Linked DNA regions of Daphnia pulex. The main gene of each other region encodes a partner of the protein of the gene in region 3 in a complex. Links are inferred from orthologs where the notes say so. Each region holds a gene or a part of one and is shown on either strand. Other genes may lie near its edges.

Region 1 (6,151 bases), on a different chromosome or scaffold from region 3:
CAAAGTTAGAAAGCTGCCTCCACTGAATATCTTTAGAATCATGGTTCGATCAATATTATACGTCGTCCCTACACGAAGGTCACCTTGACACAGGATCGTTCGGTACGAATCCTAGAAACTCTTACATTTTGTGAACTACATTCAAACCGATATGGTTTCACACTTACCTTCTCCAATTTACAAGATATGTAACTATTCAAATTGTATGATGCAACTTACTTGGTAATATGAATTTGACTGGAAAAGACGAAGGAATTATCAGGACAGACGAGATCGTACAGTCGGTGCAGTCGAAGTGACGAGCTAGTCTTGGGAGTCGGGGCTATTTGCTATATACCGCCGGTTGGGTGGCTTTTAAAGAGTCGAAGCGACGAGCCTGAATCCGTGCGGCTAGCGGGAAAAATTCCAACGTGAATCTATGCACGTTGGCTATAAATACGATAGTACTGACTGGGAAGTTAAGTTTGGTAAGGGCACCTTGTCGTCTCGTCCTCACGAATTTTCTGACACGCTTTTTTCTGTGTTCCCCTTCGTGTTTGACAGTAGTATGACCCTCAGGCAATGTCAGTTGATCACGTGCACCTCGACAAGCAGACATAAAAGTGGCTATTCTATGTGAAATCTTTAAAAATTCAATTTCCTTTGAGTTTGTTAACTTGTTATTATCACGCAATTCAGTATTCTGTTTTGATGCCGAAAAAATCAAAACAACTTATGCACACAAACAATTTCAATGCCATTTAGATGACGTTGTTTTGACCGTGGAAACGAGATCCCTTAAGTGTGTGTACATAAATATGGCGAGAATATATGAAGGTTAAAACTCGATATTTAGCTACGTGATAGTGGTGGAATATTATATTTTTATTTTTCATTATCTTCCCAGATAATCGATCGAGTTAACTCAAAAACAAACTGCAGGATCAGGATTGAGAATAATCCACGTCATTATTTAGTGCTGCAATAACAAATGTATCAAACTTAAAAACAAACACGTTTCGAATTTTTATTCGTCTACTTTTATTTTGATTATAGACGACCTTGACTATCTTTACTACGGCTGCATTCTGTTTAGATCGTCGTCAAGCGCCACTTGCTCGGTCTACACACGTCAAGAATGGCTGATATGCTGAACATTTCGCTGGTAAACGAATTGAATTATGAAGATTTCATCAGTCGATTCGGTAATGTAGTTGAACATTGTTCAATTTGCGCGGCGGCAATTTGGCGTAATCGCCCATTTCGTGACGTTCATCATCTCCACCAAGAAATTTGCTCGTTTTTGGACCTCCTTCCGGACACAGGTTAGAACTATTTAGTTACAGGCTGCTTGAATGCTTATTTATAGCCAATCAATTGAACATTTGTTTTCTCATTTGATAGGTAAAGAGGGGGTGCTAAGACTTCACCCTGATTTGGCTGGCAGGCTAGCTGAACTTGGCAGCCTAACACAGGAGAGTACTGCTGAACAGAAAGCTGCTGGTTTAGACACAATGACACCTGGTGAAAAACAACTGCTAGGAGAGACCAACATCAAGTATGACAAATTACTGTTCTATAACTATATAGTAACTAATGAGCTGTGTCTTTTGGGCTATTATTTTAATAGATACAGAGAAAAGTTTGGATTTCCTTTTGTTATCTGTGCCAGGCAGAACAAGAAGGAAGCAATCTTGAAAGGAATAGTTGAGAGATTGGAACACTCAGCTGCTGAAGAACTAAACATTGGGATTGAAGAAGTGAAGAAAATCTGCCTTTTGAGGTTGTTGAGTATAGTAACTGATGACAAATCTCGTAATATGTAGAGATTTTCCACTCGCTCCCATCAGTTGAGGTCAACAGCAGCTATTCCATTCTAAACATTCTCACTCAAAACAAGTCTTCCAAAACATATGTGTTGTTAACATTTTGTCTGGTAGTTTGCAAAAACTCAACACAAAATACAGCAATTTACAAAAATTTGTCTATATTGTCTTGCATATACTTGCCCAATATAAGAGAAGTTTAAAAAGTTCCTTAAACAATAATTATCATGAATCAAACACTTTTCTGGGGTGTTGGCTCATTCTGAACAGTCATCATGTGCTTCTCAGCTTGACTTTGAAGAAGACGAACCCTCTTTCTAGTGTAATGTTGCCAGTGAAGGATTTGTTGATCATCAATGAAGCGAGCACACTGGCCATTCACAACCTCCTTTCTGAAATGCTCATATTGAAGCAAGTCTAGGAAATGCAAACACATTGGGTACCTGGAAAATAATGAAATTGTAATTTCTAGTTAGGGTAAATTGCAAGTGAATTGGTGTACTTCAAATATTTTGCATAAGCAGGCTCCTTCCAATACTGTAAATACTTGATGTAGTTGACAAACGCCGGATCCTTAAAATAGCCACGTTGAGCAAGGACTAGTGTAAACAAGGCATAATGAAAGTGTTGATTTTAAAAATAGACCAAATACTTACAGTGCAGATAATTTGGATTTGCGAAACATTGCACAAATTCTAGTTCCACCTGAAATCGAATCCTTTGTTGTTCATCAGTTTCTACCCATCGGAAAAAGGAATAATAACATAGCAATGAGAATCTGTATTGAAAACGACTACACTTCACGATATATTTACCTCTGGTGCTCATTGCGAAGCAAACAACGAAATAACGTAGTTTGCTTCAACAGTTTTGGAAATCTAGAAACGAGGCAACCGGACAGAATGGAAACGTCAGACAACAACTTGAAATGGAAATTGGAAAGCGTCAACTTTTGCAATTTGTCGTCTGCTTGATCAATTGATGCCATCTAGAAAGAAATCGAGAAAATATTAAAAATTGAATTAACTTAAAAAAATTTTTACAAAATAAAAAAAAAATTAAAACGATTTCAAATTTCATGCCCACAATTTATTAATGTGTGTGGTGGCCTTATCACACAGTTTGATTTCCGAATTTGGATAACATTTTGCGGTTGCGCTGCGCCGTAGGACCCTAATAAACCATGAAGCCGCAGCTGATAGGCTAGACGGCTAGACTATACTAACTTCAGTTTGCACCGTGAGTTATTTTATTTTCCTGTAGGAGGTAAGATCAATAGAAGAATTTAGATGGAATATGGAGTTGAAAAACAAAAATACCAAAATAAAAAAGTCAAATCAGAAAAATTATGAATTCAGCAGGAAAGGCGAACGGAAAAATAAAAAGATGGAATATATTACCGTGTGATTTCCAGTTGTTTCACATATGCGACATTCTACGCCTCCGTTACTATTTTATCGTCCTTTTCCAGAACGGAAATATTTGAAAGTAGGCTAATCAAAAATATTCAACCCAAACGAAATCTGTTGAAATTTTTCTTTGACTTTTGTTCTTATTTTCGCCACTTTTGATCGGATATCCGGTGCGGGGGCGATAGCATTCTACCATGTATAGGTCAGAAATATCATCTTAAAGTGTCATATCTACTCCGTGTATACGTGACATCCGGATAATGCACGCGGCCGTGAGGGCGGTGTATCATGTCTGAGTGCATATTCACGTATTGTACATGTGGTAGGTCTATACTACGTAGCCATCCTCCTGCGCACTCGGCGGATGTATAATGGTTGGTTCTCACCTACGGCCCCGAGTTTTCCGGTAGACCATGCGACAATCAAGAGGATGAACGTATCAATCTTAATTCCCTGGTATTATCTAATAATCGTGCTTGAAATTCCACTCTTCTATGATTATAAGTTCAATCAGCAAAGTGACGTGATTGGAGTAACAAATAGATTCAACGCGGATTTCTGCCGTCGGTCCGGGATAAATGATGGAGTAATATTCCATCATTGATAGCACAGAATTCAGTAGAGCGTAGGTAGCAACAGGTGGCGTGACATGACAAAAATGATCCAGCTGTTGCTGAGGCAGTGTGGGCTTTTATCAATCACCTGCCGCTTATTGCCTGACCCATATCAGCCTTTTTTTTTTTTACCTGAGGAGTTTCAAATTTTCGTGGAAAAGATTCTCATTACATTTCCCCGCCATATTAATAACGCTTTTGCCACTAGGTAGACGAACCGGTGGGCGGTGGCACGTGCGACGGACAATGCCCAAAAACTGACTCCGCCTCGTCTCTATACTTTCGGCAACTGTTGTGATGTTAACCTGCCGTTGAAGGCAATTACAGCAAGCCCCCGATTCCATTTGCGTCACGTCGCCGAGTATATAGCAGTCGACGCAGAGAGGGGGGGGGGAAACAAAAAATTAAACAATGTAATAAACAAAACAAAAGGGCGACGCGAAATCTTATTAACGCAAAATATTAACGTCAAACAACTTGTCGACGCGTCAACGAAAATGGCAATCATATGCAGCCCACTGCTGGGGTACATCGTATTTTTTAACTAGTCTAGTAGACGAATCATCATCTTTCTCCTGAACCTTTTGCTTCAAATGAACTGAGACTAGACATTAATATTTATCTGATCGCGTTATTTACAAAACAGCAAAGCGCATAGCATACAACTTATTAATCTAATGGTACTCAGCAGTAAGCGTGTTATACGTCGTATTAGGATGACAAGTTTCCTACCAGGTGAAATCTTCATTCGTGAATATTCAAGTGAACATCTGATGCGATTTCGCATTCATTATTCAAATATTATAAAGAGTAGTACAAACACATTATATAGCTAGCGCTTTTAGCTGGGTAGCTATATGAAAATTGAGTGACAATTCAAAAAGAAAAGGAATAATCAGAAAACGGGATCAAAGGATTTGGTCGGATTTGATGGTCTTACGAAACGAGTGATGGGAATAAGAATTCATTATGCAACAAACTGTGGGGAATTGAACGACAACGACTAAAAAATAACGGGTGGTTGCGTTATTTTTGTCTATTCTGTTAACGTGACCATCATTAAGTGGCTATTAACGGGATCCAGTTACATAGACTTTAATGTCAACCATATACCGACTCTTTTTTTTTCTTTACTGAAATTATCAGAATGGGGAATAAGTAGGCTAATTATAATTGAATTGCCAGGAACACTTATTGACACATGCAAAAAATCTATAAACGAGTCGATCCTATTAGTCGCAAATGTTTCAATTATTCAACTCACGCCGCTGCAGCTATATAATGAAATCACCAAGAATTTGCAAGTCTTAATCATCCTTATGCAGCGCTATACATTATTTTCGACATGATGTCAAAAATAGAATAGTTTGACATCAAAATAAAATCTTTCTTTTGTTTATAGTCTTCTTCCCTTTCTCACTCTTACGCGTACATGTCGAGGGGGTACGAGTGAATGACATCAAGTCTAACTATACCGTCTTCAACCAGTTATACGGTACATAGAAAACATTGTAGGCTGTTGTCATGGAGAAGCAATTAGGGTCTATATTGTACTGTTGCCGTGAAGAAAAAATCCACCGGAAGAATAAGAAATTTAAGAATCAAATCAAAATATCGCCCTATATGCGTATTATTATTTCTCCTTCTAAGTAGAAAATTTGACTGCGAATCCATCATGTAAGCAGCACATGCCAGCTATAGAAAAACAAAAGAGTATCCGAGAAACATTGTGTTCTATTCTCTCTATCTAAAAGGGAATAACAGCTGATGATGTCACATCCTGCCATTACATTATCCAGTGCCAGAAAGCTTTTTTTTTTCTTCCGCTCCGGAATAAAATAAAAGGACACTGCTCTTAGGAGTGCAGCAGTGGGTCCTTTTTTAATATATAATACATATATATCAACCTCCAAGGGAGTAAAGAAAAAAGAAAAGTAGAATGATCGAATACATTACAGTGCGGATATGGATGGTGCCGTAACGGCGATGACGCCGGCGTTCAAAACGTTAATATCCCGACGAAATATATAGTAATGTGACGTGGTAATCGCTCACAACAGAGGAAATTCACCACAAGTCCTCATCTGATGTAACAACCAACAAAGAAGCAATATTACAGTTGCAAATTCCAGCCAACTGCCAACCTTTGTATCGATATTTTGGCCGGTGCAATCACACTCAGACTATATAGGATTGGCCATCGATCCATAACCATATGCCTACAGCACCACACATATGATTTGGCGTGCACAGGATATGTATATAAATGATTGACTATCTAAAAGGTCTAGCTAATATAATAGCCTATTATTATTAATAA
Region 2 (5,700 bases), on a different chromosome or scaffold from region 3:
ATCGTTCATTTTCACAACTTTTTTTTCGAATAGAGGACCGACATTGACGGATCGGAAAATTGCAAAACGTGAACTTTGTTCCGATCGATCGAAACTGTAAACTCGACTCGATTAAAATTTCATCGATTTAATTATTCGCAAAGTACAAGCGAGTTAAACAGTCCGAATTTGTTATTCAAGTGTAGCGTCAAGGTCCTTGTTTTCATTGGCGCCCGGTCAGGGATCGTGTGCGGATTGGCCTGCAATGCTAATAATAATACAATAACACAGCCAATATGTCACCATCATTATCTCCCGCACGAGCTTTTAATCTTTACACTAATGAAAAAGATGAGCTCCTTTCCCTGGGCAGCAGCAGAAAATAACATCACCAAAGCCGGACGATATTATCCCAGTGATTCATTCCGGATTCCAAACACACTCACGTGTCTCTCTAATATTTTCTTAGTGATGGAAATAAATCTTGGACAAAAAAAATGTGGAGCCCCTAGAGTGACGTCATCTCAAACAGGTCAAGGCTTATACTGTGTATTTCTTCATCTCTGGTCAAATTATAATTGTCTCGTTCACCGAAATTTCTGGTCGTCAGAGTTGTGTGTGTGTGTGGGCACAGCGTGACATTGCCCTACTCTCGTCGTGTGTTATATACGCGCGCCTTTTCTCGGTCTAAATTATCGATCATATGCTGCTCAGAGAGGGGGAAAGCGAACACACACACAAAATAGTTTTCGTATATATAAAGGAAAAGTTGGAGAGAGAGACGGATCAAGTGGCGGTGGCGCTCCTGTCTGTACAAAAAGCCAAACAAAGGATTTTTGATAACGAAGGAAATGCCAAAAAAGGGTCACACACAATATAATAATAATAATAAAAACGGTAGCTCTCTTCCCTCCCCACACACTTGTGTGTTTGCGCAGATGGTTTAGTTATACGTAAATCTCTTCTCATCCGGATTAAATGGGATGGATCATGATATTATATGGACTAACTCTTGTTTTGTTCTGGCGCATGACTTGTTCATGTTCCCTTTTTTGCTCAACACTTGACAAGTGAGTTGACAAGTTATATTTCATCACTGGGGGTTTGTGTGTGATTCGATTTCAATTGCTTTTGTGGGGGGAAGAAAAATAAAATGGATGATCATGGCCGCCAAATGCGCCACACAGCAATCCCAAACGGCTGACAGTAGAAACTTAGAAAGTGTGTGTGTGTGTATACAGTACGGCGAGTGGGGGGAGTGTACTACTACGACTTTGTGTATCTTTAAAAGAAAAAAAAAATGTATGCGTGCGTGTTTGTGCGTTTGACCGTGAGTAGGAGGTGGTGGCTGCCTAGCGAGGCGGTCAAACGAATCGGGAAAAGGGGCAGGAAAAACATAATCATCCGTTCCCGTGTTGATTTGTCACGAACTTGGCCATCTAGCGGTCGAAATTCGCAACTTGCCAGGTCGTTTTGGTGAAATAACATGGGCAGAAAAAATGGATAGATACATAATCTTGGCATTTGTATTTCATGCCCTTCTAGTAAAGTGTCTGTATCATTTATTTATCATTTATTGTTGGAAAAGACAGGCAGAGATTTACAATAGAAGCCGGAAAAGAGAGGGAAAATGTGTGGCAACTCGGATTCACGGGACATAAAAGTGCAGACGATGTCAACATAAATATTATACGATGTCGTTGGACGATATCTCCTGCCTCTAGAATAAAAAGGACTCTGTGTATAGATGAAGAGATAGGCCGTGATGACATATTTATTGAACGGGTGTTATGAATGCTACTGCTGCTCGTCATTTATTGAGCAGCGCTCTGGCCAAGACGAAATCAATTGTTGTTAAAATGTCGACATTCCAAGGTGCCAAGGATCTTTTCGGCGGAATCATTGTGCGCTCGAGCGAAGAGCCACAAGAAAGGAACCGAATGGAGCAGCTTCTTAAAGGTGCAAATTTATTTTTATATATTAACACATCATTTGTTTTATGTAATAGTTGTTTTGTTTGTTTTTAGAATCTCTGCAAGTCTGGTCCACCACTGGAGTTCGTGGAGTCTGGTTTGAAGTGGAACCAACCTGTGCTGAATGGATTCCAGTACTAATTCAGGTAGTCAAAGAAGAATTATTGCTAGTCAAAACTGCACGAGCATTACCTTATTCATTTTCTTAGAATGGCTTTTCTTTCCATCACGCAAACCCAGAGTTGAGTGTGTTGCTCAAATGGTTGCCTTCTGACGAACCTTGTCAAGTGCCTAGTTATGCACACACAATGGTAGGCGCTGGAGCCATGGTTGTCAATGATAAGAATGAGATTCTTGTGGTTCAGGAAAGGTATTACAAAAGACCACACTGGAAACTCCCTGGTGGTTATGTAGATCCAGGTATGTATATTTAGACATCATTAACATTCAATCATTACCAATTATTAAATTTACAGGGGAAAGTATTGCTACTGCTGTCAAGAGGGAGGTGTTTGAGGAGACTGGTATTAAGACAGAGTTCGTTTCACTCGTTGCCGTGCGGCATTTGCAATCAAGAGAGAAGAATCCCAGTGCAAGGTTCGGCTGTTCAGACATTTATTTCGTGACTTATCTCAGACCTGTTGAAGGTAGCACAGAAATCAAAATGTGTCCTCGTGAGCTCAGCGACGCTTGTTGGATGCCGGTTAGTTTTCTAAATGTCAACATTTTCAATTATTCCTAGTCTGTGTAATTGAATTTTAAATATTTTAGCTGAAAGAATATGCGACTCATCCGCTTGCCTTCGAAGTTGGGAAAATCTTTGCTACACAGTTAATGGCGATTGCCGATGGCGATAATCCCGCAATCAACTGCCTGGAATCTATCCATCAATTGACTAATAGCAATAGCCAAATTTACTTAGTTGAAGGAAAACAAAATTTTAAACTGTAATGTGTTCAGGATCACGTTCTAGTATTTTGTTTTAGTGCCTGTTACGGGAATCAGATAACGCATTATATTTAGCTTGAATTGTTGTTTTAACAAATTATATATGCAGATCGGTAAATTACTGCCCAGTTCCTGTAATCATCAGAATGTAGAATTAATTTCACAATACAGGTTGTGAATGTTTAAATTTGGCATTGAAGTTATCAGATTCATCGCTAGGTGGCGTAATAGCCGGCACATCTGCTTTTCTCATCTCTGCATTTCCATCAACAATGGCTGATCGTTTGACACAACTCCAAGACGCTATAAATGCGGTATTTATAACTGATTGCATTGACGAAATTGCCAAGTGTATCGTCTCAAATTCGTGGTTTAATTCTCTGTTTCTAGCAAGCTGATAATTTCTGCAATGCCATCGGTATTTTGCAACAAACCGCCCCACCGGCTACATTCCCAGGTTTCGATCGAGCAGGCAATCGAACACCTCAACAACAACAAGAAGATCACGCTTCTCTTTTTGCCACATTGATTGCCCGCTGCGCCAAAGATATTGACGTCCTAATCGATTCACTACCCAGTGAAGATTCTACCTCCGAACTGCAGGTATAAACTTGGTTCTATTAGTATTCTGTCGGTGCAATGTTCTACGAAGTTGACTAAAATTAATTCAATCGCTGCAGATTGCAAGTCTCAGAAGGCTGGAGAATGAAAATGAAAGTGCCGCTGCACGATTGAGGGAGGTTGTCAGCGAAGGAGAGCTGATGCTCGAGAAAATTCAGAATGCACTTCACGACATTGCACAGACCCAACTGGCCATGCAGAGCACAGGTCCAAATTCCTAAATCCAACCATTATTTGCTCTAGTTCCCTATTTTTGATATTTAAAAGAAGAAAATGAAACAAACAATTTGCTCTGCAAGAATTTCGTTTCATTTCTGGTTTCCGCCACAACATCAATTTTAAATCTGTTCTTTTCAAAATCATATTGAGTGAACATTCTTGTCACACACAGGTGAGGCAAGTCATTTCAGGAAGGAAGGAAGATGGGGTGACAGATTGTAAAAGAAACTGTTTGAAAAGGATTCCAACCTTTTATATATCCACTTCTTTTTTTGTCTTCCTTTAGAAAACCCAAAATGGAAAGAAGGGGGGAGAGAAGTTGCTGTTCACTCGTAAGAAGAGAAAGAACACGCGGTCCGTTTGTTTAGGAATGGCGTGCAACAAAAAAAAAGAGGAGGGGGGAGCGGGAGGAGGAGAAAAAAAAAACGATAGAATGTTGTTTAGCTTTTTATTTTTTAAAAAAGAAGAAGTAGAAAAAATTCTCCCGTGTGTATAAATATAGTGCTGCCATCTTCTCCGACCCCTTTCGGCGATCTCCGGTCGTTCGGTAAGAAGGGGGAAAAATAAAGGGGGTTGGAAGTGGGTGGCGTTCAGTCTCCCCACTTCCTTTTTTTTTCTCTCTCCCTCCCCAACCCTTTTTTGATGCAACAACAGTGTCTGCGTTCAGCGATTATGTCTTTGGAGAAGATTACGTTTGGCAGAATTTCAGGTGAGTTTGAACAATTTGTTTTCTTATTTCACGAATTTTCCAGGGTAAATTTTGATGTTGCTCAGGATAAATATGAGATAACTGGGGAATATATAGAGTCTTATTAGTTCTATAGAAGAAGCGCCGCATACCGCTTCGGGGCAGCAACTGTGTGTGTGTGTATATCCCCCCCTTCTTCTTCTTTTTTAAATGTTTTTCTTTAAAGAAAACAAAAAATACTAAAAGGGAGGAGGAAGATGAAGAAAAGAGAGGGGGAAGAGTGCAGCTCGCAAAGGTCCCTCACTTCTTTTTTCCAACTCTTAAACGAGTTCTTCTTCTTCGGGCTGTCTGACTCCCCCCCCCCACCCAACCCCTTCCTTCCCCCCCCACTGAGATTCTTAACACATACGAGACTTTTATGTTAATTTCGTTCCTTTTTTCTTTCTTTCTTCTCGTCTTCCCGATATATTTTTCTTCTTTACAAGATTCCGGCCGAAATAATAAATATACCAGTCTGTCTGTCTGTCTGTGTGTGGGTTCGTTATCAAAACCCCAAAGTCGAGAGAGGCGGAGGGGTTAGGTATTTTTACTCCATTTCACTCCGGACGTGAATTTTTTGTTCTTTTTATTTTTTTCGGGAACAACACAGTAGAGTGTGTGTGGCACGGTCGACTGTAAATACAAATAAAACCACTTCCTGGAACTGTATAGATATACCCCTCCTATTCTTTTCCTATTTTATTTTTAATTTTTCGGAACTTTTTTTTGAATTTCCCGCCTCTTTGAAATTTGTTTATTTCTGCGTGTATTTATTGAAAAATATTCGTGTCTGTTATTGTATACAGACACGCGGTAGGTTTTTTATTACTTAAAAAAAAAGAAATAATTTTTGAAAGACATTGTATCTTTCTTTATATTCTTCTTCTTCTTCACACAAAAAGCACAGCTCTCTGTCCGGCTGAGTGAGCTAAGAGCTTCAGGGGAGGAAGAAGAAGAAGGACAACATTTTGTGGGCGTGAATTTCTCCCTTACGGACATTGTCGCCGACATTTTCAGTTCTGAAAGAGAAAGAAAGAAAGAAGTTTTTAAAAAGAAACATTAAAAAATAGAAAAGTATTTTCCTTTTAAAATAAAGCAACGACCGCCGCTAGATGGCTTATTGTTTCGGGACAGGTATATAAAACATTCACAAGTATATACCGACGTAGACAGCTTAGATGCACACCTGTAGATAGTAGCGAAAAATGTTTCTTTTTCTTTTTCTCCCCCTTC
Region 3 (7,168 bases):
TGTTTTTAGAAGCAGCAATTGAATGATGAAACAGCAAACTTGGGCTTCGTTACCTTCCAGGGGACGCCTAGTAATGAACAGCTCGTTAATTAAGAAAACTAGATTCACTATGCATTATAAATACTCACAAGGCCAGACAGAGAACGAGTCGCTCAATAGTCACGACGTTATATTGCCACACCATTTCGTTAAGCACGTCAATGCACTTGTTAACGTGTTGACCTTTGCCAGAATTGGCAAATTCATAAACCAAGAAGTCGCAGAATGTACGCAGGTGGCTGCCCAAACCTCTGGCGCCTATGCGTTCGATGCACTTGTAAGCTACGGGATTGATACGTTCCGTTTCAAGAAGTTGCTTCCACAACAAGCAAAGGAAAAATGGCGGATTGTTTGATTGTGGGGCAAAGTGAGCCGGCCAATCGTCTGGATTCATGGTCAATACTTTTCGGTGCTCTTCTTCGATATTTTGCTTCAACTGCTGCTTTGATTCCTTGACTGGTTGATTCGCTGCCTGTCCGAAGAACTCGGCTAGGGGTGGAGGAAAGCAGTCGCGTGTGTTACTGGACCAGCTATGAGGCGTCTGTTGCTGTATTAAAGTTAGCAGATCCTTGTACCAGCTGCTATGTTGCGTTTCACATCCAGCGACGCTGATTACTCGAGCAAGCGTTAGGATGAGCGCTCTGTTGAGTTCTTCCGAATCGCTTGAGAAGAGTGGTTTAATATCGGCAGCTGATCGCGAATAACTGTTAAAATAATGGATAATTAAACCAGAAATTAAGTTGTTGCTTTTGAAGGGTTCCAAATTATTACCAAGGTTGCATTTCTGCTGCACCAAGTAATCCTATAAGCCTCAAGGCCGCATTTTCAACACATAGTGTCAGCTGTGTTTGATGCTGTTGTGGCACTGCGCACGAATGCAACAGAGTTAACAGCTGTATGCGATATTGTGGTTGCATGTGGTGAACACGAAAAGTGAACATTTCCACCAGGGTATGGAAGATACCCCACGCTTGTGATTTCGAAACGCTAGTCATCACTTGCGTGATGAAGCCCTTGATACCTAACGACTCTATCTCAGTGTAGACCAATAGGCGGCTGTACGTTTCAACGAGGGCCGGAGCTAAAGGAACGTTCATTTTTGTTTGTGCGCATTTGATAACGTGCGTCACAATACTGAACAAAGAAAATGATAAGAAATTAATAAAGAAAACCTTAAAACTGTAAAGCATGTGAAGTGATTACCTATGAATGAGCGACATTTTAGCATGCACAGTCAGTGCGTCTAAAAAGGCCAGCGGAATGGGTGAAATGGGTCCTGTATTTGGCATACCACCAGCGCTTCCTCCTGCGTTCCCAGAACCTTTTTGGCTTAGGTTTCCGTGCAACGATTCCATTAGCGAACCCATAGGGCGAGCCAAACAGTCTAACGTCGTGGAGAATGCATTGCAAAGCAGAGCTACCCTGTAGTCCCCAGAAGGAGCACTGCTTGGGGGATTAAGAGCATTATGCTGTAGAAATTCTTGGTGATTTTTAAGTGCCTGAGGAAAATGTCTCTGAAGCAGAGTCGTAAAAGCTCGAGAATCCGTTTTCCCTCCAGTTGGGGCCGCAGGAGAAGGATTGGTGCCGGTAGCTCCGGCAGTCGACGCGGCCGCAGCAGCTGCAGCAATTTCTTTCTGGGCGTTTTGTTGTTCTGTCTGGGCTTTCTTGACAATATGTATCCATATACATGCAACGGCCATTTGATGTACGCAGATAGGTCGAGTGTAGTCCGGAACAGGCAAAGGTTCACGCTCAGGATAGAGTAGATCGTACAGCCGCAAAAGAGGCAAGAATTCGGCCAGAGGATTCTTCTGGATGCTGCCAGATATGTACTGGAGAAGAACCCACATTAATTGATCGCGCCCTTTGCGTAGTTTTCGTTCTGCCAATTTCTCGTGCAATAACGTGACTAGATGGGAAAATGAGGCGAACTGGAAAAGAACAAAGTAAATGATTTGGCTGGATAAGTGGTGCCAGAGCCAATGAGAAACGCCCAACTCGTCGGCGGCATCTGAATCCTGTTCAGGGGCGATTTCTGCACGTTCCATAGCTTGCACCAGTAGTTCTACAAGTTGTTCTTCCAATACTGCATGTCTCTGCTTGTGTTGCTTTTGTAAGCCCAGCATTCCACAAAGTACTTCACGGGAGTAGGGCTGCTCCAAAACGTACCGGATCAAGCGGGTCTGTGGCTCCGTATACTCTTTTTCATAGGGTAAATTCCCTTTCAAAGCAAGTTTGAGTGTACCCTGTTCCAGTTTCCAACTGTGGTGGACACCATGGGCAGAGGGGTCAACCACAGGGAACATCAAAGGTCTGCCAATAGGAGAGAGCATTTGCACCAAAGGGCGAAAGCTATCCACAACTTCTGATAATAGACCAGCCAATTTCCAATGAGGCCAGTCTTTGTTTTCTGGATACATTTTTCTTATTTCATTCACGATGAAATAGGCTGGCAATAGACAGACTTGGCGGTCTAGAATGTGTTTCAAAGTATGCTCCAATGCTGTTACATTTGGATATTCTGATGTTGAAAATCGGCTTGGCAAGAGTTGTGCCTTTTCCAGGCATGTTTTCATTATTTCTCGTACTCCTTTGTAATCCACATGACACACAATTTTCCTGATGAGTGAGAAGCTTCCCTGCCATAAAAGTGGATTTGCAGGAGTAAGCTTCTCATTGCCCAAAAGTGAGTCACATACTTTCCTATTGAAATAAAGGAATAAAAAGTGATACAGAAGGACATTACAATACATGAAATTGAATCTTTTACCGGGATGTTGCAATATTTGTGTTTACTACACTTTCCAGAAGTTTAAATAATATTTTTGAGTGTGAATCACTACTGACCCCAGAAATGACAGCAATAAACTGAGGCAAAATAGCATCTTGTGATTCAGCCTGAGAGTCATTCATCATCGCTATCAAATCTTTTTCCAAGGCACTATATTTAACTCCCTCATCCTTGCGTTGGATCAGGAAATCATTAAAAGCTTCTTCAATGGCATCAACTTTCTGTAATTTGACTCAAGCATTAGTATATTAGTTTTATTTTTCATTTGAAAAGATTATCATACCAATGCTTCCGAAACCAACGCTTGTACTTTACTTCCGTCCAATGCCATTTTTAGGCCGACTTTAAAAAGTAAAGTCACGCTTTACTGATATCAGTTGAAGATTTGATTCACAGGATAAACTTAATTGCAGCCAGACCTTTTAAAACATAAAGAAGTCAACAATGGGAGAAGATCAGAATACCGGTCGTGAATCTTTCAAGAAAAATATCGAAGTGCCAAACGTTGATGCGAACGCCATCTATCAATAATATCTAAACATTTGGAAATATTCAAACTCGCCGCTAATAAATGGGGAAAAATCTCGAACATCGAAGAACTGGAAACGATGCAAAAAAAAACAGCAATTAGGAAAAGAGAACAAGGGGACAAGAGTTCAATCAATTTGATAATAATCTCTCGTCATGGTCCCTTGTTTCTGTTTCATTCTTTCAGCTCCTGACCAGCAGACAAGAGTGTCGTGAGCTACTTCAATCCCCATTATTTAGCTATATGACTACTATGATTCATAAAATATTTTGATCTGAATTTAGACAATGATTTGATGAATTGCAAAATGGCAAAACCTTAGCACCCGGAAGGACGAAATCTAAAAATGTCTTATTTTCAAACATGAATTTTTAACTAAATAATAGAAAGAACACACGGAAACAACGATTTCCTTACAAGAAGAGTCCTTTTTGTAGCTAAAAACGAGTTTGACAGAGCGCTAAAGGCGTTTCAACCTGACGACAACCGATTGATAGAATGTGACTGAGTTGCTTTAAAGGAAGACTAGTATTAAAGGATAGTAGCCAAGCCCAGTAAGCTTTACACATTCGTTACAGTTACAGTATTTCTTATGTAATTCTTCTTTTCATTTGTCCATAATTACTGATCCTGTGGATGAACTTAAAAATGCATTCAGCAGCTGTATCAATGGTAATCTGATTACAACAATTTTCTTCTCGTCAAGTGTGGATTTTTCGATTCTTTCCTTATTAGAATCGTTTAAGCTTTGTTCTGCTTCTCGTCGCACTTACCTTGATTGTTCTGGTGAGCAGCAGCCCATCAGGTGTTCAAGGAGGTAAATAAATTCTTTCCTAAAGCCAGTAAGTAAATTTACCATTTAATTTATTAAATTATAGTTCGACAAGAAATCTCACAACAAACTGACCGGCCACAGTGTGTCTGTAGTAGACAATGGGCCCCAGTTTGCGGAACAGATGGGAAAACCTACGAAAACGAAGGATGTTTGAGAGTTCAAACTACGAAATGCGGAACTGAGCAATCGTTGGTTAGTGAGGCTTATGAAGGTGAATGTCAACAATCAAATTTAGCTGCGATTGGTGAACAACTTTGTACCTGCATCTTCGTGTGTTCCATCTGTGTGAATCTCTTTGTAAATTTTCGGAAAATTTGAATCTAGAAAAATGTGTAGGCTAATTAAATTGATACTAGATTTCTTTACGACATTCTCTACCTAATTTATTTGTTGCCGTTTCTTTCCATTGCAAACCATTGTCTTGCGCTGTTTTTTTTCCGAGAATTCTGTTACAATTTAATTCGCGGTACTCATAAATAATTTATTACGACAGCTTACACTTGCTCGTTAAGTGAAAGAACTTTTCGTGAAAGCTCAAACTCTGGACACGAACAAAGACGACTTGATATCCTAAAACCTGTTTAACAGGTTAAGTTAACTAATTAATTAGTATTTCCCAAACTATACTCTTCAGCGCCAGCATTTCACTTAGATTTATTTAACAACATTTATTTCACAACTAAAATATTCTTCTGCTGTTCTAGGACAACTTCGTTTTACCTGCCTGTGTGTAGTAGATTAATGTACACTACGATACTTTGTAGCGTGCTTTTTGGCGTTGTTATTGTGGTGACTATGTACGTTGGAAAGTTGCGTTGACCAAAACAAGTTGCACGAAATAAAACCTGCATGGAGAACCGTTTAGTTTGTTCGTCGTCAAATTCCTCCTTGCGAGTTGCGTGAGAGTATGCACTAGCAATCTCAAATCTAAACAGAAAACCGGTTTACATGTTTGTAGCCGCTAGCACTGGGCGTTTCAAATACTTTTACGACACTGGTTAAAGCTACATATACCAAATTCGCTTGGATAGTAACAAATCAGTTTCTTACAGTTTTGTCCAACATTCACATCATATACTCTGTAAAAAGGAATCCGAAAATAAACGGTCACCAAATTGAAATGGTATTATTCTTTAACACGCAATATGTACCTCCCCCAAAAGTGGCAATGTAATTGTGTACATACTTAATTATTTTTGTACGAAATTTCCGTCATAGAACCGATTCAGCGCAGCTCTTCTTCTCATCTCACTTGTTACTTTGATTTTGATTAGCTCTGGCGTCCAAGGAAGTATGAAATTACGCTCACATATTAATTTTTGTATAGATAAATAACTGTTATGTCATGTTATTTCTCAGTTCCACAAGACCAGGATCCTAGCTGCAACTGCAAGAAAAATTACGCCCCAGTATGTGGAACAGACGGGAAAACTTACTCTAACGAATGCGTATTGAGTGTCGAGACTAAAGGTATATGTGGAAAGACTAAGTCGTCCATCACAAAGGCTTATGACGGTGCATGCAAAGAAGCGAGCCCATAAAATGGCGGAGACAAATTATTTTCATTAAATAGTAACTCCAAAATTATAGTGATCCCCTCTTATTCATTATTGATTTCAAATACGAACAATGTTTTAGTACGTTTTCGTCACGCTATTTTATTATGATGACCAGTGGGCTTTTATATACTTGTGCTATTTGCTGTGCAATCCCACTCATTGTATACAGGCTTTTAAATACATCTAAAATTATATTGATTAATTTACATGACTGAGATGAGATTTTACTTCACATTCCATACCATATGTCTAACCTACGCATACCAAGAGCAAGAAAATCGAACGCTTTAGTTTAAATGCGAGGGTGATATCCGTTGAATGATGGGTGCATATTTAAGCGATCCTAGATACGTAGTTTCATTCATTTTTGAATCCACTAAATCTTTACAAAATGGCCGCGTAATATGTAGCCTACTGCGTAGTAGAATATAACTCGGTATGCAACCCGCGGGAACAAAGGATTTTGACAGAGGAAAATAGAGCAGGTTACAATGTTAAAAACATCATTGTTTTATGATTCAACAAAAGAATATACTTCCGCTTCATTCTTTCCATCAGTTTGTAGGTAATATGACGTATTCGTCGCGCCATTGAAATCAATAATGTTCTAAACATTAAGGCCTATTGGTTGTCTTTTTTCTCCGAAACGGAACTGAAAAACGGGGGTTATTATTTAAAAAAAAAACGTATGTTGTAACTAAAATGTGGAAATTGTTCCCTTGGATTTTCCCAACATGGAGATATTTAGAAATAATCCCCTTTGGCGCTGGGCGTTTGCAGTCTACAAAATCCTGATGAATCGAGGCACTACAGACGTATAACATAAACAGCAGTACTATATAAAGGTGTCCGTCGATAGACAACATTTTCAGATTTAAAACTTCCTTCGCTCTCCATCGACTCAAACATTTTTCTCTTGAAATGCTTCAGTTCTACTCAAAGGTAAATTATATTATTATTTTTGTAATTATCGGAGTTTGTGCAGACTCTTAAGATAACCAAGATTTTCATTCTTCCAACAATCTAGAATTTCTCATGCTCGTCTCTGTTCCTCATATTTTTCGCCTTAAGCATCGTGATAAGCTACGGACCCGGCGCTTGCGGAGGTGTGCATTTGCTAAAAGTAATACATCATATTTTTGAACTAATAACATTTGCGACTATTTAATTCATGTAGCGGGGATCGGCCGAAAAGCAATCTGTGTCTGCACGTTGCAGTACGAGCCAGTTTGCGCCACAGACGGGAAAACTTACGGCAACCTATGTGCTCTGGAGTGCGACAAAAAGAGCAAAGCTTACGATGGCGAATGTAAATCAACGAAGACAGTCAAGAGAGCGGCGGCTGAGTGTGGATGTCAATTCAAATTCGCCCCCGTTTGCGGAACAGACGGCAAAACCTACGACAACGAGAACTG

Evidence for each region.
Region 1: mediator of RNA polymerase II transcription subunit 23-like (region 3) and mediator of RNA polymerase II transcription subunit 31-A-like share a complex: the UniProt entries of both Drosophila melanogaster proteins name them as parts of the mediator complex. The link is inferred for Daphnia pulex from reciprocal best matches to the Drosophila melanogaster genes MED23 and MED31.
Region 2: mediator of RNA polymerase II transcription subunit 23-like (region 3) and mediator of RNA polymerase II transcription subunit 21-like share a complex: the UniProt entries of both Drosophila melanogaster proteins name them as parts of the mediator complex. The link is inferred for Daphnia pulex from reciprocal best matches to the Drosophila melanogaster genes MED23 and MED21.

What each region holds. Positions count from the first base shown.
Region 1 is NC_060024.1:13,243,786-13,249,936, forward strand, and holds mediator of RNA polymerase II transcription subunit 31-A-like, read right to left. Parts: upstream 2,775-6,151; 5' UTR 2,634-2,774; coding exon 2,621-2,633; intron 2,543-2,620; coding exon 2,462-2,542; intron 2,405-2,461; coding exon 2,308-2,404; intron 2,249-2,307; coding exon 2,038-2,248; 3' UTR 1,950-2,037; downstream 1-1,949. Other genes in the region: 2-oxo-4-hydroxy-4-carboxy-5-ureidoimidazoline decarboxylase-like, read left to right, coding at 1,118-1,304, 1,384-1,537, 1,610-1,805. UniProt on the Drosophila melanogaster protein: Component of the Mediator complex, a coactivator involved in the regulated transcription of nearly all RNA polymerase II-dependent genes.
Region 2 is NC_060027.1:1,944,756-1,950,455, reverse strand, and holds mediator of RNA polymerase II transcription subunit 21-like, read left to right. Parts: upstream 1-3,079; 5' UTR 3,080-3,172; coding exon 3,173-3,214; intron 3,215-3,290; coding exon 3,291-3,503; intron 3,504-3,580; coding exon 3,581-3,742; 3' UTR 3,743-3,819; downstream 3,820-5,700. Other genes in the region: nudix hydrolase 8-like, read left to right, coding at 1,770-1,938, 2,007-2,098, 2,162-2,372, 2,429-2,655, 2,724-2,903. UniProt on the Drosophila melanogaster protein: Component of the Mediator complex, a coactivator involved in the regulated transcription of nearly all RNA polymerase II-dependent genes.
Region 3 is NC_060019.1:10,879,280-10,886,447, forward strand, and holds part of mediator of RNA polymerase II transcription subunit 23-like, read right to left. Parts: coding exon of another isoform or gene 6,931-7,168; intron 6,860-6,930; coding exon of another isoform or gene 6,781-6,859; intron 6,696-6,780; coding exon of another isoform or gene 6,599-6,695; intron 5,868-6,598; coding exon of another isoform or gene 5,833-5,867; intron 5,733-5,832; coding exon of another isoform or gene 5,554-5,732; intron 5,486-5,553; coding exon of another isoform or gene 5,413-5,485; intron 5,318-5,412; coding exon of another isoform or gene 5,315-5,317; exon of another isoform or gene 5,159-5,314; intron 4,320-5,158; exon of another isoform or gene 4,238-4,319; intron 4,194-4,237; exon of another isoform or gene 4,095-4,193; intron 4,032-4,094; exon of another isoform or gene 3,734-4,031; intron 3,250-3,733; 5' UTR 3,162-3,249; coding exon 3,114-3,161; intron 3,052-3,113; coding exon 2,810-3,051; intron 2,743-2,809; coding exon 1,243-2,742; intron 1,174-1,242; coding exon 811-1,173; intron 744-810; coding exon 129-743; intron 68-128; coding exon 1-67. Other genes in the region: ovoinhibitor-like, read left to right, coding at 5,315-5,317, 5,413-5,485, 5,554-5,732, 5,833-5,867, 6,599-6,695, 6,781-6,859, 6,931-7,168. UniProt on the Drosophila melanogaster protein: Component of the Mediator complex, a coactivator involved in the regulated transcription of nearly all RNA polymerase II-dependent genes.